Arabidopsis thaliana: one gene and its partners. The protein of the gene in region 2 interacts with the protein of the main gene of each other region in a pairwise test. Each region holds a gene or a part of one and is shown on either strand. Other genes may lie near its edges. The genes, in order: AT3G56370, CYCA3;3 and AT5G56040.

What was found.
Region 1: the proteins of CYCA3;3 (region 2) and AT3G56370 interact in a protein complementation assay, tested with the Arabidopsis thaliana proteins (one large-scale study listed by BioGRID).
Region 3: the proteins of CYCA3;3 (region 2) and AT5G56040 interact in a protein complementation assay, tested with the Arabidopsis thaliana proteins (one large-scale study listed by BioGRID).

What each region holds. Positions count from the first base shown.
Region 1 is NC_003074.8:20,895,698-20,907,144, reverse strand, and holds AT3G56370 (Leucine-rich repeat protein kinase family protein), read left to right. Parts: upstream 1-4,064; 5' UTR 4,065-4,310; intron 4,311-4,684; 5' UTR 4,685-4,754; coding exon 4,755-6,184; intron 6,185-6,277; coding exon 6,278-7,742; 3' UTR 7,743-8,046; downstream 8,047-11,447. Other genes in the region: RR17 (response regulator 17), read right to left, coding at 777-873, 978-1,051, 1,170-1,247, 1,342-1,421, 1,530-1,665; AT3G56360 (uncharacterized protein), read right to left, coding at 9,803-10,504.
Region 2 is NC_003070.9:17,298,870-17,308,157, forward strand, and holds CYCA3;3 (Cyclin A3;3), read left to right. Parts: upstream 1-4,806; coding exon 4,807-5,010; intron 5,011-5,183; coding exon 5,184-5,416; intron 5,417-5,519; coding exon 5,520-5,672; intron 5,673-5,752; coding exon 5,753-5,936; intron 5,937-6,034; coding exon 6,035-6,169; intron 6,170-6,253; coding exon 6,254-6,328; downstream 6,329-9,288. Other genes in the region: CYCA3;2 (cyclin-dependent protein kinase 3;2), read left to right, coding at 2,167-2,508, 2,590-2,822, 2,907-3,059, 3,145-3,328, 3,427-3,561, 3,644-3,715; CYCA3;4 (CYCLIN A3;4), read left to right, coding at 7,883-8,203, 8,476-8,708, 8,803-8,958, 9,059-9,092, 9,183-9,288.
Region 3 is NC_003076.8:22,689,336-22,700,929, forward strand, and holds AT5G56040 (Leucine-rich receptor-like protein kinase family protein), read left to right. Parts: upstream 1-5,487; 5' UTR 5,488-5,714; coding exon 5,715-8,520; coding exon of another isoform or gene 8,521-8,576; exon of another isoform or gene 8,577-8,608; coding exon 8,609-9,075; 3' UTR 9,076-9,310; downstream 9,311-11,594. Other genes in the region: HSP81-2 (heat shock protein 81-2), read left to right, coding at 1-98. UniProt on the Arabidopsis thaliana protein: Receptor with a serine/threonine-protein kinase activity.

The DNA of each region.
Region 1 (11,447 bases), on a different chromosome or scaffold from region 2:
AAAACAAAGATTGTGAAATATTTCAGAATGCGACGTATACGTAATACAATCTCCAATCATATAATGACTTTCGTCTCAATTCTTTTATTTGCGTTGACATATTGGCAAAACATGGATTAATTAAACTAAACTTTGCAATTGCTCCATCCCCATAACAAACACTTTAGTAATTGATTTCTTAATACTTAATCGATGTGACAAGAAGAAGATAAGGACTAGGCTTGTTTTTTTTTTTTGGTTAACAAAAGTGAGAACATGTTTTAAAGCGTTAGATCATGTTTATGTTTTCTATCGTCCGACAATTGATTTAACTTTTTTTGGAGGGTAAGTGTTTTGATAAACACGATAGAAGAAGAAGCAGATGCACCTTGATTTCGTCATCATAGTCTTGTTTTCAATATTTGTAGCTTTTCAACGTTAAAGGCGATCTTGGAAGTCCATGCGAAGACTTGGGAATTAAATGTTGAAATAATTGTCTGATCAAATATAATGGGCCCAAAAACGATTAAACAGGACCCACAAAGCTAAACTGCCAATAATGAATTCTAGATTTCTTGCAATCTGACCAAAAAGAACATTTCTAATTCATAAAACTAATCTACTCAGAGAGATCCTTATTGGGCTTTTATCTCTTCTCCACAAATCTTTAAAGATCAAGACAATCTTTGTCATTGTTTAGGAATACATCTTTAATTTTCTCTTATATTAGAGAACACAAACAAAAAAAAAAAAAAAAAAAAAATTCTATGAGCATTTGAGTCTAAGCAGATCTACCTTCAGCTTCTGCAATTTAAAAGATGGCATTTCAGTTTCTCTACATCAGATAGTTTCAGTGGCTTCTGCATAAACATCTGTGCTCCACTCGCTAAACATCTGTAATATCATCAAGAGATTACAGAATCTTAATTCACCATTGAGGAAAACAAAACAAGAGAACAGAACAATTAAGCAATGTGTCTGAGGAATGATAAGTTTACTTGTTGATGCGGGTAGGAATGTTCTCTGAAGACAATATCACAACAGGTACTTCCTTTAGATTCGATGATTCCTGCTGCCAATAATAAAAACACCATAGAAACAGAGACAAAGAAAGAGATTTTGTTAGTCTATATAACTCTATATTGATCTTGTCAAGAGGACTTTTCATTTGTGAGAAATTTCTTACACACCTTCACTTTCTTAAGCAGCTCAAAACCTGTCATTCCTGGCATACAATAATCAGTGATGATGAGATTCACCTTCATTACCTGAAAAAACAGTCTCAAAAGGTCATATTGGATGTTATACAAATGTCTCCTCTCCAAACCAATCAGAATGTTTCATGGGGAAGATTGAGCTTACATTAGTCAATGAATCAGTCTGTTGTGGATCTCCCAAGCCTAAATATTCTAAAGCTCTAAGCCCGTTTTCTGCAGTTGTCACTGTACAGAAAGTAAAATCAATTTCTTCATTTCAGAGGCAATGTTACCATATAGAAGAAATCTTGGTTCTTGAAATTTAGAAGGAAAAAAATTTGAATGATAGTTTACCTTTGCAAGAAGAGATCTTGAGGATTCTCTCAACAAGTTTACGGTCAATTAGATTATCATCTACTGCTAAAACATGAAGCTCCTCCTCCATTGACGATAAACAAGAATCACTTCCACTTCCACAGCCCTTATTCATCTCCTACGATTACAGAGAGATATCGTTTTTGTTCCTTGTGAGTCAAGCAACAAAGAACAAAAATCTGCACAAGAAGGAGGAGAATAAATGAGTCAGACACTAATACATTATACTGCTTTTAATTCTCAAACCTAAAGAAAACAGAGACAAACTTACAGAAGAAGGAGAGAAAAACAGAGAAATGATACATTAAAAAGATTTGAGAATGGATGTGTATATATATATATATATATATATATAATTATGTTGTTAATTTATATATGGATATATAGGATAACAATATATCAAGAAATGATTTGATATGATTTTATCTTCCTTATAATTTAAGATACAACAAGTTGTGGTTTTGTTCTTGGTATTTGATTCTCTGGAAACTGGTAAGAAACTTGGTGTTTTATGTCAGTGACAGTGCTTTGTGATCTTGTACGATGATAACGAAAATCCAAATATTAATTTTTAATTTCCCATTTGTTTGGCTTTTCTAATCGTGCGTATAATGAAGATGCAAATTTATAATCATATTTAATTTTCAAAATGGATCACAAATCTGTATCAGAATCTCAGTTACGAAGTCCCCATGATTCTCTAAAATTTAAGATATATTATCATTTTTAGTATTTGAATTTTTAAACTATGGGCTTGTTCGATGTGTATATTATTATTTGTCAATTTTAATTATCGTGAAAACCTCAAATTTTAATACGAAATCTTTGACCGATATGATAGCTGCATAGTTGCATGGGCCAGCCTTGTAACGCGTTATAAGTAGCTGCGAGTCGCATTTCTTTAGTTCAATTTGTTTTCTTTCCTGAAATATAATTCGGACTGTAGAACTTTGATAAGCCTTATTATTATCTGAGCCCATTTATCGTTTCTCATTAATGGGCCTCTAATGGAAGAGTTGGACCCATCTTATCCGTAGTTATTTACCATGGAATAAAAAATGAAACTGTAAGTAATCAATAATTAAATAAATATAAGAAAATTTGGAATTTTACATCACCGGAAAGTAAATATTTTACCTTTTAATGGCTGGTCCTAAATGCCAATCCTGATATGACAGAGGAAGATTCGAGTAAAAATTGAATGTGGAAATAAATACTAACTGTAGAAAACAAACAAAGGGTAAATTCTTCATATAGATGGAAAGCGAAGAACAGTAAATGTGAATTCGCTACGGTCCGGCTCACACTGCCCAAAAAATTCCTCGAAAGCTCTTAAAAACAGTAGTAAATTTGACCCTATATTTTTAGAATACATTAAAAAGTAAAAAAGGCCTCTTTGTTAAATTGCAAATAGAAACAAATAGTAAATTCCAAAATTTCCATGAAGGGTTGTTTTCCTTCCATGGGGAAAAGAGTTATTTTTCATTGTTTATTTCATAATAAATAACTTTTACTGTCAAAAGGAATATAAAATTTTAAAACATAGGTATGGGAGAGAGACCGAAGTCTGATAAAATGTCTTGACTCGGACCAAATCTCAAACGAGAAAGACAACAATTAAAAAAATTCCAAGAGCATGCTTAACGGATTATAATATTTTTTTCAACATCATTTGTTCTATTATCTGTTTTTTTTAATGTTTTATTTTATGGCAATAAGTGTTTGACACTTAGTTATTCAACCGCATTTCAATCTGTAGGAAAAGTTTACATAATGTATGATTCCTTGCACAAACAGAAGATCCAAAATTTACATCTGTAGCTCCTCCAAGTCAACCAAAATCCTTAGGTTTGTGATCCAATTTCAAAACCCCATAATTTTTCAAGAAAATTTGTAAACCCATAATTAATAAGTTTGATGCATTGACTACTGACCAGGACATTGTACATAAATGAACAATAACATTATGGTTGCAATTATTAATGATCTCTAAGCACCACAAAATATTTTTTCCAGGACACCATCATCATTCCTCACCAACTTACTTTAATGTTCTTACTTCAAAAAACAAAATAGAGAATCAAAATAAAAAAATGAAAAACCAAAACTATGGTGACCACTTTAACCACTGTCTCTTTCTGCATAATTTTTTACCCAAAATACCAATTCTCTGCATGAGAATAACAGAACCAACCACATTCCACATTATTTCCATTTTATGTGAAAGATTATTTTCTAATTAGTTGAATCATACCAAGAGGCCACAGAGCAGCATGTAAACCCATTAAAGAAAGTTTCTATTATTTGGGAAGGATAATTTAGTCATATTCAAATTTATAGTTTCTTTCTTTATGAGTTGGCCAATCATTTATTCATTTTCCCACTTACTATACCAACACAAAATAAAAATAAAAGCCACGTGTCAGCCAAGTCGGATTCGTCAAACCCAACAAAATAAATACACGTGTCAATTAAAGAGTTTTAATGAGTCCACCCACCTTCCTCGGGCCCCACACTCTCTTCTTTCCAGCCCGTTGATAAAGGCAGCTTTTAATTACTCTCTCTGCTCTCTTTTTTTTTCTTTATTGGCTTTTTTCTCTTCTTCCCAAATTCACTCTTCTTTTAAAGCTACAAAACCTAACAAAGTTGAAGAAGAAGAAGAAGCTCGTGCTCTCTCACTTTCTTTTCCTACGGTGTTTTTTTTCCCCCTGAGCTGCAACATTCTTCGTCGGAAATCTTCCCGGAGAAAATTCTTACTAGGTGAGAATTCCTCATTTCCAGATCGTAACTGTCCAATGACTCCTTTACTTAAAAAAACTCAAGTTATTTTGCTCAACATTTACTTCAGCCATTCACTTGAAGGTTGAATATTTCTTCAATTTCTATGAATTTCAAGTAAACTGTAGCTACTTCTATTCATATAACTAGCCTTTGTTTTACCGGATTTTTCTTCATTGTTTTTTGCTTTGTTTTGCTTCCTCCGTTGGCCGAAATGTAGCCGTTGAGATAGATTTTTGTTCTTTTCTTCTACTAAATCTAACGCCTAAGAATACGAACAAACAAAGTTTTTGTTTTGAGATGTACTGTTTTTTTTTTTCTCTTGTGTTCACCAATTTTCTTCTTTCTAATTTCAGCTCTACATAACTGAAAATGGAGGTCTTCCGCAACTAAAATCTGTTCAACGGAGAAGAGGGTTGTGGAAAGATGTACAAAGCACTGATTTTTACAGTCTTGTTGGTGTCGGCAGTAGCTCCGGTGAGATCTCTAGACCCGCCTTTAAACGACGACGTTTTAGGGCTCATTGTCTTCAAAGCCGATTTACGAGATCCAGAGCAAAAGCTAGCTTCTTGGAACGAAGATGACTACACTCCTTGTAGTTGGAACGGAGTCAAATGCCATCCGAGGACGAATCGAGTCACTGAGTTAAATCTAGATGGCTTCTCTCTGTCTGGTCGAATTGGTCGTGGCCTACTTCAGCTTCAGTTTCTTCATAAGCTCTCTCTGTCCAACAACAATCTCACGGGAATCATTAACCCTAATATGCTGCTGAGCCTTGTTAACCTTAAGGTTGTTGACTTGAGTAGCAATGGCTTGTCTGGTTCGCTTCCTGATGAGTTTTTCAGGCAATGTGGGTCATTAAGAGTTTTATCTCTGGCGAAGAACAAACTAACGGGGAAGATTCCGGTTAGTATAAGCTCGTGCTCGTCTCTTGCTGCTTTAAACTTGTCTTCCAATGGTTTTTCTGGTTCTATGCCTTTGGGGATTTGGTCTTTGAACACTCTAAGATCACTTGATTTGTCGAGGAATGAGTTAGAGGGAGAGTTTCCAGAGAAGATAGATAGATTGAACAACTTGCGTGCGCTTGATTTGAGTAGAAACCGGTTATCTGGTCCTATTCCTAGCGAAATTGGGAGCTGTATGCTGCTGAAGACTATTGATCTTAGTGAAAACTCTCTATCAGGAAGCTTACCAAATACATTTCAGCAGCTCAGTTTGTGTTATTCTCTGAACTTGGGAAAGAATGCGTTAGAAGGTGAAGTTCCAAAGTGGATAGGAGAAATGAGGAGTCTTGAGACTTTGGATCTTTCCATGAATAAGTTTTCAGGGCAGGTTCCAGACTCCATAGGCAACCTTCTAGCACTGAAAGTTCTCAACTTTTCTGGGAATGGGCTTATTGGTAGCTTGCCGGTCTCAACAGCCAACTGTATCAACCTCTTGGCCTTAGATTTAAGTGGGAATTCACTAACTGGAAAGCTTCCCATGTGGCTATTTCAAGATGGTTCTCGTGATGTGTCTGCATTAAAGAATGATAACTCTACTGGAGGTATCAAGAAGATCCAGGTTTTGGATCTCTCCCACAATGCATTCTCTGGCGAGATTGGAGCTGGTCTAGGAGATCTTAGAGACCTGGAGGGATTGCATCTGTCCAGAAACTCTCTTACCGGCCCCATCCCCAGTACCATTGGGGAACTAAAGCACTTGAGCGTCCTTGATGTGAGTCACAATCAGCTCAATGGAATGATTCCTCGAGAAACAGGTGGAGCTGTTTCTTTGGAGGAGTTGAGACTTGAAAATAACTTGTTGGAGGGAAATATTCCATCTTCCATCAAGAATTGCAGTTCCCTTCGGTCTTTGTAAGTCTCTTTTGCTTTAGGTTGCATTCTGTTAAGATTTTCCCATTGAAGATTATGTCTTAACTGTGTTCTGTTTCATGCTTCTTTCTACAGGATCCTGTCACATAACAAGCTGCTAGGCTCAATTCCACCAGAGCTCGCTAAACTTACAAGACTCGAAGAAGTCGACTTATCATTTAATGAACTGGCCGGAACACTTCCTAAACAGTTGGCTAATCTCGGCTATCTTCACACATTCAACATATCTCATAACCATCTCTTTGGGGAACTACCTGCAGGTGGAATCTTCAACGGTTTATCCCCAAGTTCAGTATCAGGAAACCCGGGAATTTGCGGTGCTGTTGTCAATAAGTCTTGTCCTGCCATCTCCCCTAAACCGATTGTGTTGAATCCTAATGCAACTTTCGATCCTTACAATGGTGAAATAGTGCCTCCAGGTGCTGGTCACAAAAGGATACTGCTTAGTATATCTTCTTTGATAGCCATTAGTGCTGCTGCAGCCATTGTGGTTGGTGTAATAGCCATCACGGTACTTAATCTGAGAGTGCGCGCATCAACGGTTTCAAGATCAGCAGTACCGCTCACGTTCTCAGGCGGAGATGACTTCAGTCGATCTCCCACTACTGATAGCAACTCAGGGAAGCTGGTGATGTTCTCTGGTGAACCTGATTTCAGCACTGGAACACATGCTCTGCTTAACAAAGACTGTGAGCTTGGTCGAGGTGGATTTGGAGCGGTGTACAGAACAGTTATCAGAGATGGGTATCCTGTAGCTATCAAGAAGCTCACTGTCTCGAGTCTTGTCAAGTCTCAGGACGAATTCGAAAGAGAGGTGAAGAAACTTGGAAAACTCAGGCATTCGAATCTGGTTAAACTCGAAGGATATTACTGGACAACTTCTCTCCAGCTTCTGATCTATGAGTTTCTCTCTGGTGGGAGTTTATACAAACAGTTGCACGAAGCACCAGGAGGTAATAGTTCGCTTTCTTGGAATGATCGGTTCAACATTATCCTTGGTACAGCGAAATGCTTAGCTTACTTGCACCAATCAAACATCATCCACTACAACATCAAATCGAGCAACGTGTTGCTAGACAGCTCTGGTGAGCCTAAAGTAGGAGACTACGGATTAGCGAGGCTGTTACCTATGCTAGATAGGTACGTGCTGAGTAGCAAGATACAGAGTGCGTTGGGATACATGGCTCCAGAGTTTGCTTGTAGAACGGTGAAAATAACAGAGAAATGTGATGTTTATGGATTTGGAGTCTTGGTCCTTGAAGTGGTTACAGGTAAAAAGCCTGTGGAGTATATGGAAGATGATGTTGTGGTTTTGTGTGATATGGTGAGAGAAGCTCTTGAAGATGGAAGAGCAGATGAATGTATTGACCCAAGGCTGCAAGGGAAGTTTCCGGTAGAAGAAGCGGTTGCAGTGATAAAGCTAGGGCTTATTTGCACTTCTCAGGTTCCATCAAGTAGACCACATATGGGAGAAGCTGTTAACATATTGAGGATGATCAGATGCCCTTCAGGGAGCTCAGATGAGTTGGGTTCAAGTTGAAAAGAAGGTTAAAGACTAACATGTTTTTTCACCAAGTTCCGGCGAAGAGGAATCCGGTTTGTTCATTTGGGGGTTTTAAGAGAAATCCTTGTTTGTGTTTGTTTTTTGATAATCTCTTATGTGTTATCTTTTGTGTCTGTTAGTTTCAATTTCAATGTTTGTAGCTTCTTCTATTTATTGTTCTTGTAACATTTTTAGGGCTGTATCGGATTTGTCTTCACCGGGTTCCATAATATGGGACTCTTTCGATGAAATCTTAAGTATTATTATGAAAGAAAGCCTGTAGTCTTCATTTCAGGTTCTGAACCATCTTTTAGCAGTCGTAGAAGATAAGAGCTTTCTTGTGAGACAAATAAAAACTTAGGGTTGAGAAAAACAAGAATCAAGATAAAACTTAGTGACTTCGTGTGATGATGCTCTCTGAACAAAGAGAGTATAAAATAACTTAAGAAGCTTCATTTGTTGTAACCATGTGCATGGGACTCTGTGAAAACTCAACAATTTAATGGGTCTGATCTTTTATTGGATTATGGGAATCGAAGAAACGTCTCAAGAATCTGTAATTAAAATACATTATTCATTAGTATCTTTTTGAGGGATAATATAAGTACATTTTTAACAGAAGAACCCTAGTTTCAATGGCCGATAAAAGAGGAATGGAGCATGCCTTGTCTGAAACAGACCACGTTTTTCTCTCTTGGAGTTGGGAAAGACGAAATTAGTACTACAATCTACGTTGTCTAGCCTCGGTAATTTGCAACATTTTGACATTTTAACTCATAAGTTAAAAATCCATTTCAATATTGTACATGATAGCATTAAAGTGAGATGGCATCTAACGTTTTGACTTTCTAAGCCAAATATGCTAACACTTTTTTTTTCCATTTGAAATGGAACCTGAAAAAATAAGTTACTTAAGGGACATTTTCCATTTATAATTTTTTTCTTTTTCCATATACAGCTTATTATTATATTACCGATCAATTCTTCGGTTTATAACTAGGTTGGAGAAAAAAATAATTCATCTTTCTATACACATTTTTTCATGTCATTAATATATACAGCTTATTAATATATGAGTTAATTCCTCTAGGTTAGCTTATACAGTATATATGTCATTTTCATTTATTGGATTATTTCCAAAAAAATCCCAAAAAGGAACCTTGTATAAACCAAAAAAATAAAAAAATAAGATTGTGAAATGTTAAAAAAAAAATATATATAATGGTGATCATAATTAAGCCATAACTTAAGAGTCTTAGATGGTGATGCCAATAATTTAGAGGTGGTTGATTAAGTGTAATCATTCACTTCCGTAAGTCCGATCGTGAAATGTCTTGTGCTGCTAAATGTGTATCGCTTGTCAAAGTCATAAACAATGAAACTCCTTGGCCCCTTTAGATTAGCTTATTGTATGTCATTTCAATTTATTGGATTCTTTCAGAGAATTCATAAAAAAGAAGAAAATAAACATTGGATCATTCATAGCCCATAGGAACAAAGGCCTATACCTTCCATATATTTACGGGCCTTAAAATCTAAATCCAATATCCAAATCCATATAAATGATCCAATCAAACAATCCATAATTTTCCATCACGACCATGTTTTATTCATTTTCTCTCTTTTCCATCTCCGGAGATCGACTCCGGAATTTTCCGACGGAGGTTATGAACTCTAATGCAACTTCTGGCAGTATCAGCTATAGGCTTTGCACTATGATCACTAACAGAAGTTTTAAATCCACCTACACTTTTGCTTATTGTGGTGTTAATGAATGCATAATTGCATATAGATCTTACACGGATTAAGTTGTCTACTTGTCTTGATTCAAATCCTCTATACTACAATAGCAACAAAACTAACAATGTTCTTTGATTAAACAAATCACTATAACCAACCAACTTTGACCATTTTATTTACATTTATATCACCAATCCAAATTCCTAAAAAATGTTCTGTATTAATAACAAATGTAATTTGATCATCCATAAGGGTTTCATAATCAAAACCCAAAGAGTATAAATAATTTACAGTGCAAATCCTTTGACAATCACTGCTCATTGACCAGTCTGCACCAACCACGAATTATTCAACTGTGACATAGCCGTTTCCCTAAAACTCTTGACCTTAACCAAACAGAAATGGGTGCAAACCGTACCCATACCCGACCGGACCCGGGTCGTTTTCAATAGATAACAAACCGGCCCAGTATCCGATCCTCTTCCTTGCGCCACAATCCCCCACGCGCTTGTATCTTCCCCACACGCGCCACCATCGTGATCATCATCATCTGCTATGTCACCGTCTGCGAGCTTCTCCACCAATATAACTCCTTCCGGCGTCCTCTCTTCTCCTCTACCCCACTTTCCTTCCATCTCTGTCCAATCCTCCGCCTTTGGATTCGTTGCCGTCGTCGTCAAACCACCATTAGCCTCCGCGTATAAATGCATCAATAACGGCGACTCTCTAAGATTCTTCACGATCTCAACCACCGAATCTCTCAACCACACATCTAGCTTCTCCCTCGACACAACAGATCCACCGCGTTTCCTTCCACCGATCCTTTCAATCTTCACCGCCGCAGACGGTGGTGACAAATCCTCCATCGACATCGAAATCTTCCCGATCGCACACATATTCCGTCGATTCGTCACTGGAACAACACATGACGATCGAGAATTCAAATTTAACGTGCGACGATCACAACGAACGGCGCATGCACTTCCTCCTCCGCAACAAATCCTCGCAGACGTCGCCATCTTCGCCTACCGGAAGATTCAATTGCAGAGACGAATAGGAATCGGAGAAGATATGCTGCGATTAGATTGGAGATTGCTTCACGCTGACGAATTCTCTTATAGAGTCAATCACACCAATGGTTGCTTTTAAGAATACGTTTTACTGACGCAGCCACACACAATCCAATGGCAATGATGAATTATTAAATACCTAATTTTTTTATTTCTCCAGCACGGAAGTTGTGTAAGTTGTTTGATCGGACGGTTGAGATTTAGAGATGGTAGAAATCGCGTTTATCTTATTCTTCACGTTATCCTCAAAAGTCTGAGGTGGCTTAAGTAGGTGATTATTCCCTGTAAAGTGTTGACGATATAGACTAATTAGATATCAGATATGGACCGTTCGATGTAAATCTAACGGTTGCTATTACGTGAAGCCGGTACGAGATGGAGAACGTGGCGACGCGGTTTAGCTGTGTGCATGGCTTGGGCGGGCACACGCTGGTACTGGATTTAAATTGTGGTGAACACGTGTTATCTCTGTTATTTATAATCTAGACCATAAGATACGCCACGTCAGATTCCACGGTGGACAATGTCTTTTAGAATAGATTGGGCCCGTCGTTTTTTATTTTTGAGGAAAGTTTCGGCCTTTTCGGTATGGCCCAGACCACTAAACTATTGTTATACTTATGTGCGTTGATCTTTCGCATATAAGGATTGGATCATTGGACTGAGGTTTGGAATGTTAGGTGCGTTTTACGTTTCTCCTGCCATAAACTACACAAAGACAAAAGCACATGCAAAAACAACATAAATATGCATCAACCTAAGGTTGCGACACAAATCGAGCAACTATGCAAAACGCTTAAAGCCATGAAGCCTTAGAGATTGACAAGTAGATCAGTCAAAGTTTACGTGGCTTAGTAAAATTATATACTTTTGTTTGCTAAGAAAATACTTT
Region 2 (9,288 bases):
AGGAAGTATTTGAAATTTAAACTTTGTGTGGTGGAGAAAACTATAGTCAATATAAATATTTCAGTTATAATCTTAAACTTACGTTCAAATCTTTTTATGAATTAATTACGGTTTTATTTTAAATTAATTACATAAAATACAATTAATAATAAAAATTTCAGCTAATTTTATTGATATCAGATGAAGATAATATCAGTATATAAAATACAATAAATGTTTTAAATATAAATGTTTTGTGGAAAATAGTATATATATAAAATCAAAATAAGTAGGGTAACTTGATTTTTTCTTACAAATTATTTTCAACTGAACTAATCTTTAGGTAATCCAAATATTATTTTACAAAATCTAAATAGGGTAATAATCATAAATGACGATAACCACTACATTCTCATTCGACTATCTTTTCAAGCGACTTTGTATTATCTTTGGAGAGAGTGGAATGAGAGGAAGCTCACAACAAGAAATGTCGGACCCATATGCAGCTTCTAGCCATGATCGAGAAAACCATTCACTCTCGCATCATGTCATTGTGTTACTACGAGAAACCAAAACTTAAAGATTGCTTCAAACTTTGTATGTGACGAGACCCCTACATTAGTCACTGCCAAGATCTGTCCTCAAATCTTTGATCTGTTTTGTTATGTCTTGTTTTTGTATATTGTCACATTCTCATTGTAAATTATTAGTTACCAATCAACAAATTTTACATCATAAAAAAGCAGTCAAGAGATTTTTTTATTTTAGAACTATTTGGCAATCAAGTTTGAAAAATATATTGGGTGGAGGATCAATTGAACATGTGGATGATGAGTAAAATTAGTTTTGAGTCTAGTTAAAAGGTGATCAAGGTCTATTATGATATTTGGTGAGCTTAGAAGAAATTAGAAAACATAATCGTTTCTCAACCGAATGTATATTCGCAACGTTTCTTCACCTTGAATTTGCCTTGGGTTGGCTCTGCTCTAAGGAGGTGTCTTTGTTGTTTTTGATTGTTTGTTGTGTTTCTTCACTTTGATAGGATAAAGGTTTGTTCCGCATGATGTTCCAGTGAGCTTTCAGTGTTGGATAGAAGCGGTGATTTGGTCTAGAATGTCTATATTATATTGTGGGAACTGATTTTTCTAGTTTTATGCTTGAGAATGGTGGCCTTTGGTGGCCAAAGGCGGCTTTTCTGGATGTTCGTAGATGCTCTTTTGCTGTCAGGTAAGTCTATTCTAGCGGTTTTGTTTTTGTGTTAGTTCTCAAAAAAACTATTAGCGTCTTTTTGTTTTAAGGTTTTGAAGATAGACCTCATAAAGAAATTGCTCGTGGTAACAATAATGAAGATTCAATTTTTGTTGGAGATGGGACAATTATACAAATGTCTGAGCCTCACGGTTCAACATTGATGTTCTTCATCGAACCTATGCTAGCTGCTTTCCACTTAGCTTTCATTATAGTTTTCGTAAGTTTATTTAGTTATAGATTTTGGTCTTTATATCTTCTTTGTTTTTTTCTGTAATCGTTTTCACAATTTAGACCATACTAAACAACATAAAATTCTCAAAATTATAAAATAATCACTATAAAAAAAAATAAAAAAGGATCAAAATTTTATTTAAAAAAACCCTAAAAAACTAGTTAGTTTTAAAAAGTCATGATCTTGTTTAAAGAAAATTGTACATTTAACAATTCTAAATATTTTATTAAAAAATATAAGATTAGTAAAGTACAAAATATCACAATCTTTTTTTTTTTTTTTTTTTTTGTCAAAGACAAAATATTACAATCTAAATTATAAATTTAACAGATGTCTTCGAAGGGACAAAAATGTCAAATGTCAAATTTGTTTCTGAATCGAACCACCACGGCCAAAACCCCAATCTTTACCGGTCAAAAACATTTTCAGGCAAAATCTGAAAACAAAAAAACATAAATCACCCGCCCAAACAAATTTCAGAGAATTTTCGCACCTCCAAAATTTTTTAGTTGACTCCCAAAAAACTCAAACTCCAAAAAAATCACAGAGAGCGCCACAATCAGAAAAAATGGCGCTTTTGCTCTTCCCTTTTTCTTCCCCTTCTCACCTTCTCTTCTTCCACTCATCCGATCTCTCAATCCTCTCAAATCTCAAACTCTCTCTTCCCATCACTCTCTCGCTCTCTCTTCAATCTCATCTCAATCATGACAGAGCAAGAGATCTGCGTGAGGGTTACAAGAGCGGCGGCGAAACGAAAAGCTTCGACGGCGATGGGTATTGACGGAGATCGGGTCAACAAGAAGAGAGTTGTTCTCGGTGAGCTTCTAAACGTCTCCAATGTCAATCTCTTGGCTAATCTCAATCAGAAGAAAGAAACCCAGAAGCCAAAAAGGAATCTTAAACCTCCTCCGGCGAAACAGATTAAGTCAGCTCCGGTGGCTATTATTGACCTAGAATCAAAATCTGACATTGATTCTCGATCTGATGATCCTCAAATGTGTGGACCTTATGTTGCTGATATCTATGAGTATCTTCGTCAACTTGAGGTAATAATGATCTTGTGTTTTGGATTTAGAATCATTTACTTAGTTCTTGAATTGGATCTGAATTGGATTTGGTGAATTCAGGTGAAGCCAAAGCAGAGACCTTTACCAGATTACATAGAGAAAGTTCAGAAAGATGTAACACCAAGTATGAGAGGTGTTTTGGTTGATTGGTTAGTGGAAGTTGCTGAAGAGTATAAACTTGGATCTGAAACACTTTATCTCACTGTCTCACATATTGATAGATTCTTGTCTTTAAAGACTGTTAACAAGCAAAAGCTACAGCTTGTTGGAGTTTCTGCTATGCTTATTGCTTCGTAAGTGTTTTATGATTCTTCCTCTCTTGTGTTTGTTGTCATTGTTTATGTATGGAAGCTAATGGAAGTATTGAAATGTTGTAGGAAGTATGAAGAGATAAGTCCTCCTAAAGTGGATGATTTTTGTTACATTACGGATAATACGTTTTCGAAACAAGATGTTGTGAAGATGGAAGCTGATATACTTCTTGCTCTTCAGTTTGAGTTGGGAAGACCAACGATTAATACTTTTATGAGGTTAGATTTGTGTGTATTGGTGATGATTACTTATTGGTTTGTCTTAGTTTCATTGTTCTGATTTTGTGTGTTGGTGTTTGTGTAGACGGTTTACTAGAGTTGCACAAGACGATTTCAAAGTTCCACATTTGCAGCTAGAGCCTCTTTGTTGCTATTTGTCAGAATTGAGTATATTAGATTATAAGACTGTGAAGTTTGTGCCGTCTCTGTTGGCTGCTTCTGCTGTTTTTCTCGCTCGGTTCATCATCCGTCCGAAACAACATCCTTGGGTAAGCATATTTGTCTCAGTCTCTTTCAGGTTTTAGTCTGCTGTGGTCATTGTTTAGAATGAGACACTAATGATTTATGGTTGTGAATATGTAAACAGAACCAAATGTTAGAAGAGTACACAAAGTACAAAGCGGCTGATCTACAAGTGTGTGTTGGAATCATACATGACTTGTATTTGAGCAGAAGAGGAGGTGCTTTACAAGCTGTTAGAGAGAAATATAAGCACCATAAGGTACTTAAACATTACACATTGATAAAATCATTTGAATAAGCAGAGCTTTCTTGATACTTAATGTTGCTTCTTCTCGGTACAGTTCCAATGCGTTGCGACCATGCCTGTTTCACCAGAGCTGCCGGTTACCTTTTGGGAGGATGTTACCATTTGATCTGAGGTTATGCTATCTTAAGCAAATGTTACGGAGCTGGATTACCGAATCTTGTTTCAAATAGTATAATGGACACAGATCTTCAAGTGAAGCTAGAAGAGTAAGAAATATAGAAGTGAAGGCAGGAGCAAATAAGTCTGCGTTATGTGAAGATGTGTGATGTATTATTGAAATCTCTTCTTTTTTATTTACAAAATTTTAGTGTGAAATTCGGAATAATATAATTTTATACAATTATGCAATATGATATAAGTATTTATGTGACATGATCTTATTTTGTTTAAGCATTGAGCCTACTACTGTATGTTTATACTTAATGAAAATTCCTAGAGGGCTAAAACTCTAGAAGACATTGTTGTTAATTTAAAGAAACTAATGAAAATCTCAAGAAACAAAAGAAAAGAAAAGATTGTCTATGAGATTGATAATCAAGTTTACTAAAGAGAGATTAAACTTGAGAAACAAGAAACAAGGGAGCTTTAGCGATGACTTGAAAAGTTTCGGTGTGAAGATCCAAAGACAAAACCATGGTTTCAACTTTCACCCTCGTGTGAACCAGTGAAGTGAGCCATCAACATACACAGGATCTTGGGTGTGAGAAACCAGATAAGGGGATGCAGGACAACGTACCTCCAAGTGTTGGTTGCAAAATCAAAAACTTCACAAGTTGTAGCGTTCTCGTTTAGGCCTAACTCAGCGGAATAAGCAAATCAAATCGAAATTATAATTAGGGTTCTACTTTACAATTTTCTCCAAAGTAAAATTACAAGTTTTAGATTAAAAAAAGATAATTATATGTAATTACTTTTTGAGATTTTTAATCAAGTAAAAAAAGGTAATTTCTCTAAATTAACACGTTTTGGAACGATTTTTTTTTTAATTTCCTTTTTTTAATTACTTGGGATTTCGTGTTCAACAAGTTATTGTTTTGGGCTTTGGTTTAATTTTCCTTTTTTTTTTAGTCTGTCTCATCTCTCATCTGAATTCTGAAACCTGGTTGTTTTAGGATAGAGTCTTCTACTCTATATATAGGACTTAGTGTAAGATTTATTGTTGTTCTTTCGAAGATGTGTTCTTGTTTTTCGATAAATATGGTGTCTAAGAAAGATAAACAGATTCATTCCGACCATAACCCTCAAGATGCTTCCCCGGTAGAGTGGGCGGAAATTCGACATAAGCTACTTGCGTTTCAAGAGAACATTCAATCAGGCTCTGACATTGACGCTAGGTCTGATGATCCACAGATGTGTGGACTTTATGTCTCAGATATCTACGAGTATCTCCGTGAATTAGAGGTACGTAATAAGATCTCCTACTTGCTCTGTTTTTGGACTTAGAACATTGACAAGTTTCAATAGGTCAATTTAGTATACTTTATCTGAAGAGTTTCTATGATTGTTCTCTGTTTGGACTTAGAATTTGTGGATATGTTCTGAAGATTTGTGTTTTTGGTTTGGTGAATATTCAGGTGAAGCCAAAGCTAAGACCTTTACATGATTACATTGAAAAGATTCAAGAAGATATAACACCAAGCAAGAGAGGTGTTTTGGTAGATTGGTTAGTGGAAGTTGCTGAAGAGTTCGAACTCGTGTCTGAAACACTCTATCTCACTGTCTCTTACATTGATAGATTCTTGTCATTAAAGATGGTTAACGAGCACTGGCTTCAGCTTGTGGGAGTTTCTGCAATGTTTATCGCTTCGTAAGTGTTTTTGATCCTCTTGTATTACTCTCTTTGCTATTCATTGTCATGTTGAAACTTACATATGGAGTGGCTTCTCTTTTTTGGCATTTGATATAAATAGGAAGTATGAAGAGAAACGTCGCCCTAAAGTGGAGGATTTTTGTTACATTACGGCTAATACTTATACGAAACAAGATGTGTTGAAGATGGAAGAGGATATACTTCTCGCGCTTGAGTTTGAACTAGGAAGGCCTACGACAAATACTTTTCTAAGGTTAGAATTGTGATGAATAATACTGACTTTTGGTTGTATCTTATGGTTCTTTGTTCTCATCTTTTGTTGTGTTTGTGCAGACGGTTCATAAGGGTTGCACAAGAAGATTTCAAAGTGCCAAACTTGCAGCTAGAGCCTCTTTGTTGCTATCTGTCAGAACTAAGTATGTTAGATTATAGTTGTGTGAAGTTTGTTCCATCTTTGTTGGCTGCTTCTGCTGTCTTTCTCGCTCGATTCATCATCCTTCCTAACCAACATCCTTGGGTAAGAACTTTTGTCTCAATCTCTCTTTTTCAGGTTTATATGTTGAGTTAATCTTTTGAATGAGACACTAATAATCTATGGCTTGTAATGTAAAACAGAGTCAAATGTTGGAAGAATGCACAAAGTACAAAGCGGCTGATCTACAAGTGTGTGTGGAGATCATGCTTGACTTGTACCTGAGCAGAAGTGAAGGTGCTTCAAAAGCTGTTAGAGAGAAATACAAGCAACATAAGGTAATTGACATATTACAAATTATGAAATCATTTGATTTAATTAGTAGTATCATTTATACTTAAATGTTGCTTTTTATGGTACAGTTCCAATACGTTGCGGCAATTCCTGTCTACCAAGAGCTTCCGGTTACCTTTTGGGAGGATGTTGTTACCATTTGATCAGAACCAATCTTTCATTTCCCAATTGTTACTGAGCTCGATTACTAAGGGACACTGATCAACAGTTGAAGCTAGAGGAGTCATATGTTATATGTATCGAAGTGAAGCAGGAGCAAATAATTTGTGTTGTGAAGATGTATTGTGTTATTACTTGATTAACATTGTGGTGACAAATTAATGTGTTACTCTGGAAATTTATACGATTATGCAATATGATAAGAAGTATTTTATGTGACATGATTTTATTTGTTTAATCATTGAGCCTCCTATGACAAAATTTATAAGTTCCTAGAAGGCCAAAACTTTAGTAGTCAATAATTTACTTCAAATGGTATCGAAACCAGATGAATGGGAAGACATGACAAGATAAGCCTTTAGACTTGCTATGATCCTTGACAAAAACAAAACAAAACAGAAATTGTTCATTTAAGTCAATAAAAAGGCAATTTCTACAAGTGAACCCTTATTGGAAAGATTATTTGGTAGAATTGGTCTGGTCATTTCCAACATACGTTTATTAGATAATAACAGATAGGCGGATCATATAAGATAGAGTTGTCAAATCGGGGTGTCCATGTCCATTAGCCCAATCCAATAATGTCTATTTTGATATTGGACGAACATAGTCCGTATCCATTAACACCTTTGTCCAATCCAATAATGTCCATTTTAATATTCGATTTTTCCTCAAATCGATTTAACCTAACATTATAAGACTATTGGGCCGCCCATGTCCATCATATCTACTCTGCTAAAGTTCATATCCGTTAACGACTATAACCATTAAAGCCCGTTTTATAATGGCTTTATCCATGACTCGGTCCATTAAGTATTGGACGCAGGCAGCCCACGGGCCGCACACCCATTTTGACAACTCTAATATAAGATAAGTGTCCGTTGGTGTCAATTATTTTTGTTAAATTAATAGCTGAATTTGTCGAAAAAATTATATAGGAAATGGTGTTAAATGAATTCCTAGTTCAATGATTTTTTTTTATTATTGTTTAGACAAAATATTTTCATATGGTTTAGTGGATTTATTTTTCTGTATCCAAAAAAAAATCAAAAATGTAAAACTAAACCCAAAAAAAGTATAAAAAAAAAACAAATGCAAAACCGATTTTTTTTTAAATTTTTTAAAAGCATCTCACTTAATTCCGAATCTTAACCAAAACCGAAAAAAAAACAAATCAACTACTAATAATTTCCTTAATTAAAAGCATTCATTGATTGTTATTTTCATCTTTAATTAAGTGAATAAAACAATAATGATTGTCTAAATATAGGAGTGAAACTTTTTGAAGGGTAAAAAGGAGAAAACAGCCGCCAAATAAATGTGGAAATGAAATCTGCAAAAAAGCCCCAAATTTTGGATACTCAAAAGTCAAATCCCTAAAAATTTCGAAATCGGAAAATTTACACAGAGAAGCGCCATGACCTAAAAATCTCAAAACTTCCCCAACAAAAATGGCGCTTTTACTCAACCCATTTCCTTTTACCTACCTTGTACATTACCCCTTTTCTCAAATCTCACTTTCCCACTGAAATAACCCCATGGCGGAGAATCAGAACTGTGCGAGGATGACGAGAGCGGCGGCGAAACGAAAAGCGTCGTCCATGGCGTTAGACGAAAACCCAGTTAGTAAGAAGAGAGTTGTTCTCGGAGAGCTTCCGAATATGTCCAATGTCGTTGCTGTACCCAATCAAGAAAGAGAGACCCTTAAGGCTAAAACAAGTGTTAATACCTCGAAGAGGCAGATGAAGAAGGCTTTGATGATTCCTGAAGCTAGCGTACTAATCGAATCGAGATCTGTTGATCCTCAGATGTGTGAGCCTTTTGCTAGTGATATTTGTGCTTATCTCCGTGAAATGGAGGTAAAAAAAAAATCATCTTTAGTAGATTTCTTGATTCCATCATTTTTGATCTTAGTGATCTTATGGTATCAGTTTATGTTATTTTGGAATTGGTACAGTGTTGGACTTGATATTGATTAATGGGTTTGGTTAAAGTTGTGGATTTGATAAGTTTCTGAGATTTTGTCCAATCACAGCTTGCTCTTATGGTTATATGATATGTTTGGAGAAATTAGAGATGATTGATACTTTGGGACTAATGGTTATTGTTTTTGGATTGGTAAAATTTTCAGGGGAAGCCGAAACATAGACCACTACCTGATTATATTGAAAAGGTTCAGAGTGATTTAACTCCACACATGAGAGCGGTTTTGGTGGATTGGTTAGTGGAGGTTGCTGAGGAGTACAAGCTTGTTTCGGATACGCTTTATCTCACTATCTCCTATGTTGATAGATTCTTGTCTGTGAAGCCTATTAACAGGCAGAAGCTTCAGCTTGTGGGAGTTTCTGCAATGCTTATTGCGTCGTAAGCATCTTAATCCTCTTTGTTTATTGTTGTGTTGGTGTGAAGAGTCTTAGATGGTTGGCTTATGGAATCTTTATTTTTGCTTTTAAAAAAGTAGGAAATATGAAGAGATAGGTCCTCCTAAAGTTGAAGATTTTTGTTACATTACGGATAATACATTTACTAAACAAGAAGTGGTGTCGATGGAGGCGGATATACTTCTTGCTCTGCAGTTTGAATTAGGAAGCCCAACCATCAAAACATTCCTAAGGTTCGACTCTGAAACAGTCTGGTGTTTAAACTTATGATTTCATGGTTTTACTTGCCCTTGTTTTGATTGTTATTCTCTTTTTTATGTCGTGTTTGTGCAGACGGTTTACACGGGTTGCACAAGAAGATTTCAAAGTAAGCTCAAAATCGATGTACCTGTAAACTGTGGCATTTGCATCTCATAATTTCTATTGTTAAATCTTCTTTTTTTTCATGCCTTTGCAGGACTCACAATTGCAGATAGAGTTCCTTTGTTGCTATCTATCAGAATTGAGTATGTTAGATTACACCTGTGTGAAGTATTTGCCATCTCTTTTGTCTGCTTCAGCTG
Region 3 (11,594 bases), on a different chromosome or scaffold from region 2:
GCATTGATGACGATGATGCTGTTGAAGCCGATGCTGAGATGCCTCCCCTTGAAGACGATGCTGATGCCGAAGGTAGCAAGATGGAGGAAGTCGACTAATTTATCACACAAAAGTCGACTAAATTATTAGCGGTGTTATAAGACTATGGTTTTCTTTTTTTCTTTTCGTTAAAACTTATGTTATTTTGGTGATTATCTTCACGAATTTTTTCTATGGTTTTATTGTTGTGAAGATATTTCTCTGAACTCGGTTTTATGACAAAGATTCTATTATGCTCAAGAGACTGATTCTTACATATCCAAGCTGAATTTTGTCAGGGTATTAGTAGTAACCTAGTTATGATTATATCTTCCTAATTAGAATTTAGAATAACAAATTATAAGAAAATAGAATAACACAGAGATCATATCTTCTGGCATACATATCTTGCTGTGAATTATATTGCATCCGAATTAGAAAAGTTGCCACAGTTAAATTGAAATGTTTTCACTAAAAAAAAAAAAAACTACGCTGCCAATTGCCAATCTCTTGCTGCAAAGTGCAAACAAATGGTCAATCAAATTTTTAGATGGGCCCAAAATGTCCGTTGTTGAATACTTTGGGCCTTAAAATCGACCCATCAGTCAAAAAGACTCGTCAATATTAGAGACTGGCTTTTTTGATACAAAAGATCACCCAATAATGCAAGATTAAGCCTAAATTTATTATTTTGTCCCAAAAAAAAAAAGCCTTAATTTATTAATGTAATCAAAATTAATTAAGGGAAACCCCACACTGCTTTTGCTCTCAAAATTTGACCGTTAGTGGAGACTTATTATATAATACCACGAACTTGGCGTTAGTGCAAGTGAAACTCTTTAGTCTTTAGTTAAAACTTAAAAGCAAAGGCTATGTTAGGTTAAGACAACGGAGCCTATTGATTAACTTATGTAATTTCTTTTCAATAGTCGTATTTTCCTCTCTTTTTTTTTTCTTTTTTTTTTGGCACCTTCCTATTTTCTTACCAAATTATTATTGTTCAGTATTTTGTATATAGGAGTAAACTGAGTGATTACCATGATTTCAGCTAATATTTAACGATTATACTCACCTAATTTACAGTTAGCTAAACTGAACTTTCTAAAGCATCATATATACCCAAGCATGTATTCATATTTGGGAAAATTTTAGACTAGCAATATACTCATTCAGAATTCATATAAAGTTAATTTGAGGCATTTGATGTAAACAATTATTGATGTACTTTATTTTATTTTTAGACTTTAATTAGAGTTTAACTAATGTGAGCGAGAAACCCGAGTCCTGGAAATACGGAAGAATATTTGACCCTTTAATTTACACCTTTCATCACACGTAATATCATCCATTTTATATTATGATCCACAAACAGCAAAGGCCCATTAATCTCATTATATTTTAGATTAATTGATTGCAATTGCCCAACTTCTCCACTCAGCAATGTTAGTTTTAAAGACACATCAAGTTAGTGTATTTTATTTTTAATCTTTCTATAAAAAACAACACTTTGTTTTTGTCTATTTCTTATTCTGTGAAAAAGAGAAATGAAAAAGTAAAAAAGATAACAAAAAGGCTGGTTTTTCACGGTGAGAATTTTTCATGGTCACGCAATAACTTAAATATGAACTATTAAAATAACTAAGATTGAAAAATTAGCATGATCAAAAGAAGAAGAAAAAAAAGACAACATGAAGCGGAAAGGAAAAAAAAGAAAGCTGAAAATCTAATTAACAAGATTGCGGAAAAGGATTAAAGGACGAAGAAAAAGAGTGAAAGGTGAATACATATATAAACTCATATTATATATTTCCAAAACATATTTTTTTGACCAAGAGTTAAATGGTGTGCCTCTTTTAATTTTTAAAACTTAAAAGTAACAAAGTTAACTCTCTAGTCAGTTTAGTTAAGACTAGGGATGTTTTCATGAAATTGAGTTTCAACTGAGTTATGTGTTTTCTTTTAACATATATTTCTCTTATTACATCCTATATAGTTCTCACTTTAGATTGTTGGTTTTTTATCAAGTAAGTTACAAAAGTTATAGATTGCTTTGGTCTCTACAGAGAATGTTAACAATGAAGTACTTGCGATAACTAAAAGAGAGTTACATAACATCAATGAAATGAAGTTAAAAAGAAAGAGTTTTGAGTTTCGATCTAAAAACTAGGATTGAGAAATATCATTTGGTTCTGAAATAATTGGAGGAAAAAAGGTGCAACGAAGGCGAGAGGCAATCCTTTGGTAGAAGGAATGAGAGCACGTGTGGTTGTTGTCATCACAAAAAAGGTCACTATTATGATTTCCCTCTTAAAGCCATATCTCATTATCATTGGCCCCATCTCATTTCACATCATATACATACCTACAAACACAAAATGTCTACTTACATACATTCATGCATATATATCAGTTTTTGTAAATATACACTTTCCTAAATCAATTATACACTACAAACTATATATAATAGGGTTCACACTTGATATGGAGATGTCCCAAATTAGTAATAAAAAGTTTTATCTAACAATATCATCCTATATGTCCTCGACGAAAGAAATCATCATATTCCTATGTGCGTGTGGATTAGTTTTTTTCATAGTTGAAACATTCCATGGCTCATAATCTTCTTCTGTATAATTTCACTAAATGGTACATCACATATATTTGGATTTTGTTTTTCGATTTGAAATGTGTATGAGCTTTGATTATATATTGACTATGTGATTCGTCGTCCACATTAATTTAAGCATGAATCTAATTATTCGCCTTTTCTAAATACTAATATTAGAAAATTTCCTCTTTTTTGGATTGGTTGGTTTTCCATATTATCAGCAAGTATCTAAATGGTTTTCTTACTACAGTGTCTTCGTAGTCGTATGAGTGGTTACAACCAATGGAATTTTATCAACATGGCCACTCATAAGACGTAGCATTATCATGATCAACCATAATATATGTTATATTCATTGGATCGACAAATTAACAAAGAAATAAGTAGTTTTGATCGATGCCCACTTCTTTTCACACTTCTGCCACTACATTCTTGGACTGCTTCTGCTACTAAATACCCCACAGTGGACCAGTTTTTATTATTATAATTGAATTTATAAAATTGATACAGACAAATGCTTGTATATACTTAATTAGCAGAAAGAAAGAAAAAAAACTAAGTAAAAAATTGCCCATCATAATCATCGATCAGATCCACTTAATTAGTAATTTATAACACTCACTTAGTAATATTTATCCTTAGTTGCTTATATATATATCCCTAGACGTATTTTCTATTGCTCTATCATCATGTGGTGAGATCTCTGACCTAATCGAAACGTGATATAGATCCAGATCTTGTTCCATTGTCGTAATCAAGTCTACATCTTTTAATTTATCTTAATTGTTATCATCACTATTAACTTTCTTAAAAGTAAGAAAAACCATCACACTTCATTATAATAAAAACCATCACCCTTCATTGCATACATATGTGAACATGTATAATTTGGAAGCTGCTTAGCTATAACAGTCATTAATTGTCGACGACACTAATTCAAATAACGATAGATGCGATAGACAAAAGAACAATATGGACCATTTAATGATAATCATAAGATTTGAGAAAGAAATCAAAATTTTAACAAGTTTGGAAAATACAGTTGGGTACTTGTCTTTTCTCTTGCATCTTTTGCTGTCTCTTTACTTCCTTCTTGTTTGTTGGTTTTTGGCTTATTGTTTTCCCTTTTATTTTTCCTCTTTATGGACCATATTCATTTAACTCTCCCCACACATGTTCGTCTCTTATTTTAATTTTATTTTGGTATGACTCTCTTATTTATTTATTAAAACTAAACAAATACTCCATAAGTTATAAACCAAAGAAAGAAGTTATAGATCAAGGGTTGACAAAACGTTGGAGCTTAGTCCAAATGATGAAATGCCTCACACGAAATATGTACATACGTCGAATTCAAAGCGTTAGCAAAACTTTTGGTCTTAAAGTTGAGGTCATTTGTACCACGGTGCGCCTGAGAATGATTTAGACACACTAGTACTGTTTATGCAAATGATTTAGTATGTACATTTCATGTAAATGTGGTAGACCCCAAGAGATATTCGTATTTTTGTGAGAAAGAAACTTTGTTACTTGCTTACCATTAATGTAACTCTTTAAAATGAAAGAATATCTGTTGTCTCTAACTTACAACAAAAGTTACATATTACGAAACATATTACATCAATATATGATTAACATCACCAGTTTTTAAGTGAAATTTACGGTAATTAGAGTACACACTATTCCATAATTAAATACCTGCAGAATAAAACCATGTTGTCGAAATGCTTTCTCTCACTTTACTATGTGTATAGATATGCACATGCATAACCATCTCTCTACATATCTATTGATACATATTTAATCTTTTGATTCTACTATGGCATGTGACTTGAGGTGTGGTGTTATATCTTTATATATAATCTTCTTGACCTAATGATGCTTGACCCATGATCTTAATTTTAGTTTACTTTATCTTTTCCATAATCTTTTTGTTTTGTCCAGTTCCTCCTTTTTAATTTTTCTAATCAGTATTCTAAATTTCCAGTCCAAGAAATTGGATCTAAAACACCTTCATCTTAATTCAATATATGTATGAGCAAGTGTATATATGTATATGGATATTAATTAGTATTAGCATACGTATGATATAAACAGATAATTACAGCGAATGAAATGGACCGACAATGCTAGCAGAGATGAGCATTAGTAAATTTAATTAATCTTTCACATAAATTCCTAGCTTTCATGTGCATTTCACACTCTTCAAGATTCCATGTTTCAACTACTAATTTAATAATTTATATATCAGAAATCCAAAGTAGATATCTCCATCTTTCTTTCAGTTATTTACTAATCTCATTTTTACCACTATATAGCCACTTCAGACTCTCCCAAAGTAAACAAAAAAAAAAACAAATAATCACAATCCAAATTATCTAAATGTTTCTTTCGAAGCATTAGAAAACCCCAATTATGTTATGCGTCGTTTATCAATAATAGGTAGTAGTAGTACTACTAGTAGTAGCATTCAACAAATATCATTATTAGTAACTAGAAGTCTAGAAGTCATTATTGATCTGAGTAAACGTTATCTTCCTTTTGTTTCTTAAAAGATAACAATCCAGAAATAACAAATAATAGGGCCAATTCTAACATGTCATTTTCTGAATTTGATAACCTAATTTTCTTAGATGATTTATGACTATGTAATAGTTAGATCTATAGGAGTTTTTTTTTTTTACCATTTATGAATAATATTATCAGCATGCCTCATCTAGAAGCATTTACCACAGATAAATCCACTTACAAGAAAAGGAATAAATATAATTTACCACTCTTTTCATCTATATTTTTATTTAATTTTCAACTTATATAATTCTGTTTTGTTCACAAACAAATAATGGTGAAAAAATAAAGTGACATTGTTTGGAAAATAATAATAAAGGGAAAAAGGTAGAGGTGCTTTTTGGGATCCAGATCTTCCTTTACTACTTCTTCTTCTCTCTCTCTCCTTTGGTTTGCTCTGTTTTTATATATTTCTATAAAATCAAAGTAAAAACCAAATCCATGGGGTTCTTCGCTTCACAATCCCAACGCACCTCTCTCTCTATCTCTCACTTCTTCTTCTTCCTCTCCCTCTTCACCAATGCCACGTAACCCTAGATTCTGCTTCTTCCTCTTCCTTCTTTTTCACTCCTCTCTTTTCTTCTCCATCCCCTGTTTTTCCATAGACGAACAGGGTCTAGCTCTCCTCTCATGGAAATCTCAGTTGAACATCTCCGGAGACGCTTTATCTTCTTGGAAAGCCTCCGAATCGAATCCTTGTCAATGGGTGGGAATCAAATGCAACGAAAGAGGTCAAGTCTCGGAGATACAACTCCAAGTCATGGATTTTCAAGGTCCGTTACCGGCGACGAATCTCCGACAGATAAAGTCTCTGACTTTGCTCAGCTTAACCTCCGTGAATCTCACTGGTTCAATCCCTAAGGAGCTTGGAGACTTGTCGGAGCTAGAAGTTCTTGATTTAGCTGATAATTCTCTCTCTGGTGAAATCCCTGTGGATATCTTCAAGCTCAAGAAACTAAAGATTCTGTCTCTCAACACAAATAATCTCGAAGGTGTGATTCCATCGGAGTTAGGGAATCTCGTTAACCTCATCGAGCTCACTCTCTTCGACAATAAACTCGCCGGAGAGATTCCTAGAACCATCGGAGAACTCAAGAATCTAGAAATCTTCCGTGCAGGTGGTAACAAGAATCTCAGAGGAGAGCTTCCTTGGGAGATTGGTAACTGCGAGAGTCTTGTGACTTTAGGTCTCGCCGAAACAAGTCTCTCCGGTAGACTTCCGGCGTCGATCGGAAACCTGAAAAAGGTTCAGACAATAGCTCTTTACACGTCACTCTTGTCTGGTCCAATCCCTGATGAGATTGGAAACTGCACAGAGCTTCAAAACCTCTACTTGTACCAAAACTCAATCTCTGGATCGATTCCTGTATCAATGGGACGTCTCAAGAAGCTTCAAAGTCTTCTCTTATGGCAAAACAATCTCGTCGGAAAGATCCCTACCGAGCTAGGCACCTGTCCGGAGCTTTTCCTCGTCGATTTATCGGAAAATCTCCTCACCGGAAACATCCCAAGAAGCTTCGGAAACCTTCCAAATCTCCAAGAGCTTCAGCTAAGTGTTAACCAGCTCTCCGGTACAATCCCTGAAGAACTCGCGAATTGCACGAAGTTGACGCATTTAGAGATCGATAACAACCAAATCTCCGGCGAGATTCCGCCGTTGATCGGGAAATTAACAAGCTTGACGATGTTCTTTGCGTGGCAGAATCAGTTAACCGGAATAATTCCAGAGTCTCTTTCTCAATGTCAAGAGCTTCAAGCGATTGATCTCTCCTACAACAATCTCTCTGGTTCGATACCTAATGGAATCTTTGAGATTCGAAACCTCACGAAGCTTCTTCTTCTCTCTAACTACTTATCTGGATTCATACCACCGGATATTGGAAACTGCACGAATCTTTACCGGTTAAGACTCAACGGTAACAGACTCGCGGGGAATATTCCGGCGGAGATTGGGAATCTGAAAAATCTCAACTTCATCGATATAAGTGAGAATCGTCTCATCGGAAACATTCCTCCGGAGATCTCCGGTTGTACAAGTCTCGAATTCGTCGATCTACATTCAAACGGTTTAACCGGTGGTTTACCCGGTACACTTCCGAAGAGCTTACAATTCATTGATTTATCCGATAATTCATTAACCGGTTCTCTACCAACCGGAATCGGATCGTTAACCGAACTCACGAAGCTCAATCTCGCGAAGAATCGTTTCTCCGGCGAAATCCCTCGAGAGATATCTTCCTGTCGGAGTCTTCAGCTTCTCAACCTCGGCGACAATGGCTTCACCGGAGAAATCCCTAACGAGTTAGGACGGATCCCGTCTCTTGCGATCTCTCTAAATCTCAGCTGCAATCACTTCACCGGAGAGATCCCGTCGAGATTCTCTAGCCTCACTAATCTCGGAACCCTCGATGTCTCTCACAACAAACTCGCCGGAAACCTAAACGTCTTAGCTGATCTACAGAACCTCGTCTCACTCAACATCTCCTTCAACGAATTCTCAGGCGAGTTACCAAATACTCTGTTTTTCAGGAAACTTCCACTCTCTGTTCTTGAATCAAACAAAGGGCTATTTATTTCGACCCGACCCGAGAATGGGATCCAAACCCGACACCGTTCGGCTGTCAAAGTAACCATGTCGATCCTCGTAGCAGCAAGCGTCGTTCTTGTTCTCATGGCGGTTTACACTCTCGTCAAAGCTCAACGAATCACCGGAAAACAAGAGGAGTTAGATTCTTGGGAAGTGACTCTTTATCAGAAACTCGATTTCTCCATCGACGACATCGTCAAGAACTTAACTTCAGCTAACGTGATCGGAACTGGAAGCTCCGGTGTAGTTTACAGAGTCACAATCCCGTCCGGTGAAACTTTAGCTGTGAAGAAAATGTGGTCAAAGGAAGAAAACAGAGCGTTTAACTCAGAGATCAACACTCTTGGATCGATTCGACATAGGAACATAATCCGTCTTTTGGGTTGGTGTTCGAATCGGAATCTGAAGCTTTTGTTCTATGATTATCTTCCTAACGGAAGTTTAAGCTCTCTGCTTCACGGTGCCGGTAAAGGAAGTGGAGGAGCTGATTGGGAAGCACGTTACGACGTCGTTTTAGGCGTTGCACATGCACTAGCTTATCTTCATCATGATTGTCTTCCTCCGATTCTACACGGTGACGTTAAAGCTATGAATGTCTTATTGGGTTCCCGCTTCGAATCTTACTTAGCCGATTTCGGTTTAGCAAAAATCGTCTCCGGTGAGGGAGTTACCGATGGAGATTCGTCTAAATTGAGTAACCGGCCTCCGTTAGCCGGTTCTTATGGTTACATGGCTCCAGGTAAAATTCAAAATTTCGATTTTAACGTTATAAACTTATCAATTTCGAAATATTAACTTTATAACGGATTTTATTTGTTTTGTTACAGAACATGCTTCGATGCAACATATAACAGAAAAGAGTGATGTGTATAGCTATGGAGTGGTGCTACTAGAAGTTTTAACCGGGAAGCATCCATTGGACCCGGATCTACCCGGAGGTGCTCATTTGGTTCAATGGGTGAGAGATCATTTAGCCGGAAAGAAAGATCCTAGAGAAATTCTTGACCCGAGACTCCGCGGGCGGGCAGATCCTATAATGCATGAGATGCTACAAACTCTAGCGGTCTCGTTCCTTTGTGTGAGCAACAAGGCATCCGATCGGCCTATGATGAAAGACATTGTGGCAATGCTTAAAGAGATTAGGCAGTTTGATATGGATAGATCGGAATCCGATATGATAAAAGGCGGAAAATGCGAAAAATGGCAGCCGCAACCGTTACCACCGGAGAAAATTGTCAGTACTCCTCGAGGTTCATCTAATTGTTCGTTTGCTTACTCGGATGAATCCGTATAAAAAATTTTACAGGAGTTCGATTAGGGTGATGACATTTATAAAATGTGTGTGTGAATATTTATTTGTTGTCGATGATTTGTTAGAATCAGGGAAAGAAAGATCTAAGCTTAGCTTATTGTTTTGGTTTGTGAGTTTTAATTTTATTTTTTCTTGCAAACGAGTTGAAGAAAGAATGTATTGTAAAATAATTTCAATAGCTTGAAGTGGTTTATTTTATTATTTTTTATTTTCAAAATAATAATATAAACATAAATAATTGGAGATATTGGTTAACTTTGCTAAACCGAAAATTCATAGATCCAAGAATTATCCATGTTCAATAGTCCATTTTGTCTGAACATTGCAGAAACTAAATTTTGAGGAAGAGAAAGATTAGTTTGAACATTGATCCACAATTCTATTATATCAAAAAATAGAACATGATGAGTTACTATTTATAAAATTTTTGAAGGTATTTGCTTTTGTAATTTTTGAAGAATTTAAGATACAAATACTGGATGAGAAAGGCCGGGAGTGTTTGGAGTTACATACAGAAGAAAGATTCGTTCTTCTTTATTAAAATTTTTATTCAATTATCAAATTATATAATCTTTGGATGTTTGCTAATTTTGTGAAATTTATAAGAGAGGCTTTCGACGTGGGATCACGTGGACCCACGCGCCACCCATCACATGATCATGTGTTGTCTGAATAACAATGACTTTCCAGCCAACAATCACCAATTTTTATCATCTAAATACAATAAATAATATTTTTGGTTATATAATATAAGATTGAAGATGACTCGAGGCTCACATAACCTTTTTAAGCTATCAAAAAAAAAAAAAAAACTTTGTGTGCACACAATAATAAGATTGCACATGCCTTAACCAAATGTAAGAACGACAGTTTTCAGTTTTGTGGGTGTTGCTTCTCTTTGTTGTGTATATGTTTGTCTATTTAATCTCTTAAGTTCAAGAGGTTTTGATAGTGACTTCCAAAAGTTTTTTTAAATTAGTCCTGATTTTTGAGTTGCCATCACAGTTTAAATGTAGTTAGTTTAGTTGTATAGCAAGAGAAAAATTATCTTAACAAATTCGTATCCCGAACAATATATTAGTTCTCGTGTAGATGAGTAGATCCATTACTCGTGATATTAATGATTATTTTTCGTATTTTTGAAACAAACTATTGACAAAATAATACGAAATCAGCTAAAGGAAAAAAATATGTGAAAAAGGTTATTGAAGTCTCGCAACAGACAGAAGCAACAAAAAGCTAATGATGATTATGCGGAATGTACGGGAGTCCACTTCATGTGTTCGATTCGATGTATTGTTGTGAGCTAACATTACATCATCTCATGATTTTCATTTTCAAGTCTTGTGCCCATGCATCATCCATGCAAGAGTTTCTCCTAGAGATATTTAACCGGGTATGAGATCCGGATACATACATATAATGGGTTTCAAATTCGCGGGCCTAACGGGCCTGTTGTGTTTCAAATGAGTCCGTTTAAATATGTACAAGAAGATTTCTATCGTATCGAGTTAAATGACAAAATTAAAATACGACTGAGTAAACCAATTCGGAGAACCGTAATTGGTTTAACCAAAGTGTTGTTTTGTTAACCAATTTCTCAATATAACGTTTAACATTGAGGGATGCGTTTCTCAGGTGTTGGATTAGGGTTTTTTCTAGATGAGGAACGTAATGCTGAGTACGAATCTGATCTTCTAGTTCTAGGATTTCTTAATTTGCGGCAGACTGTGACCCCATTTCGAAACAATGGGTTCCTTAAGATGGTAAAAAATGATGCATCAGAAGGCCTTGATGCTTGCCGTGGAAGCTAAAGTGAATAAAACAGAACTAGGTCTATGCAGAACTAATTCTTGTTCACCCTTAATTAGGATTGTCATGTTTTCTTCTCAAAAGCCTAAACTAGGTCTTGTTCCTTTCTCATTCGTCTAGTTAGTACTTTTTTTAGTAGGCTACTGCAAGCAAGTTGATATGATGGAATGCAGATAAAAGTTAGAATTGATTACTAATTTCTTGCTGACACAAGTATTAAAATTGTGAAAGAGTCTGTGTTGTCGATCGTTGTTTCAGTCTCTACCACTAGACATTTGATGTTTCTCAAACCCCAAATTGTTAGGTCCCTTTTCTTTTGCTTTTGTCTAAAGATTTTGCTGAGAATTTGGGCTTCGTATACAATCTCAACTTTACATGCTTTTCCTGGCTAAGCTAGTTAGCCAGTCAATCTCTTGCTTAACTTTTCTCTGCCACTTGCAATTGACACTTTTGTAGCTAATTCCTGAAGTTTCCTAGAAAAAAAGTATTCATGAAGTTAAGACTATAAATTTTAAAAAGAACTCCATGTTGGCTTGTGTTAGGAGATGAATCTGCTTCCTTTTGTTCTTTTGATTTCTTTCAACCAAAAAAGAACCAACATAGCAATCTACTGTCAGATCCTTTTTCTTTTAGATTGTATCTTGTGGATCAAATATGGATCGGATCAGATTTAGTAATCTTGAAGCAAA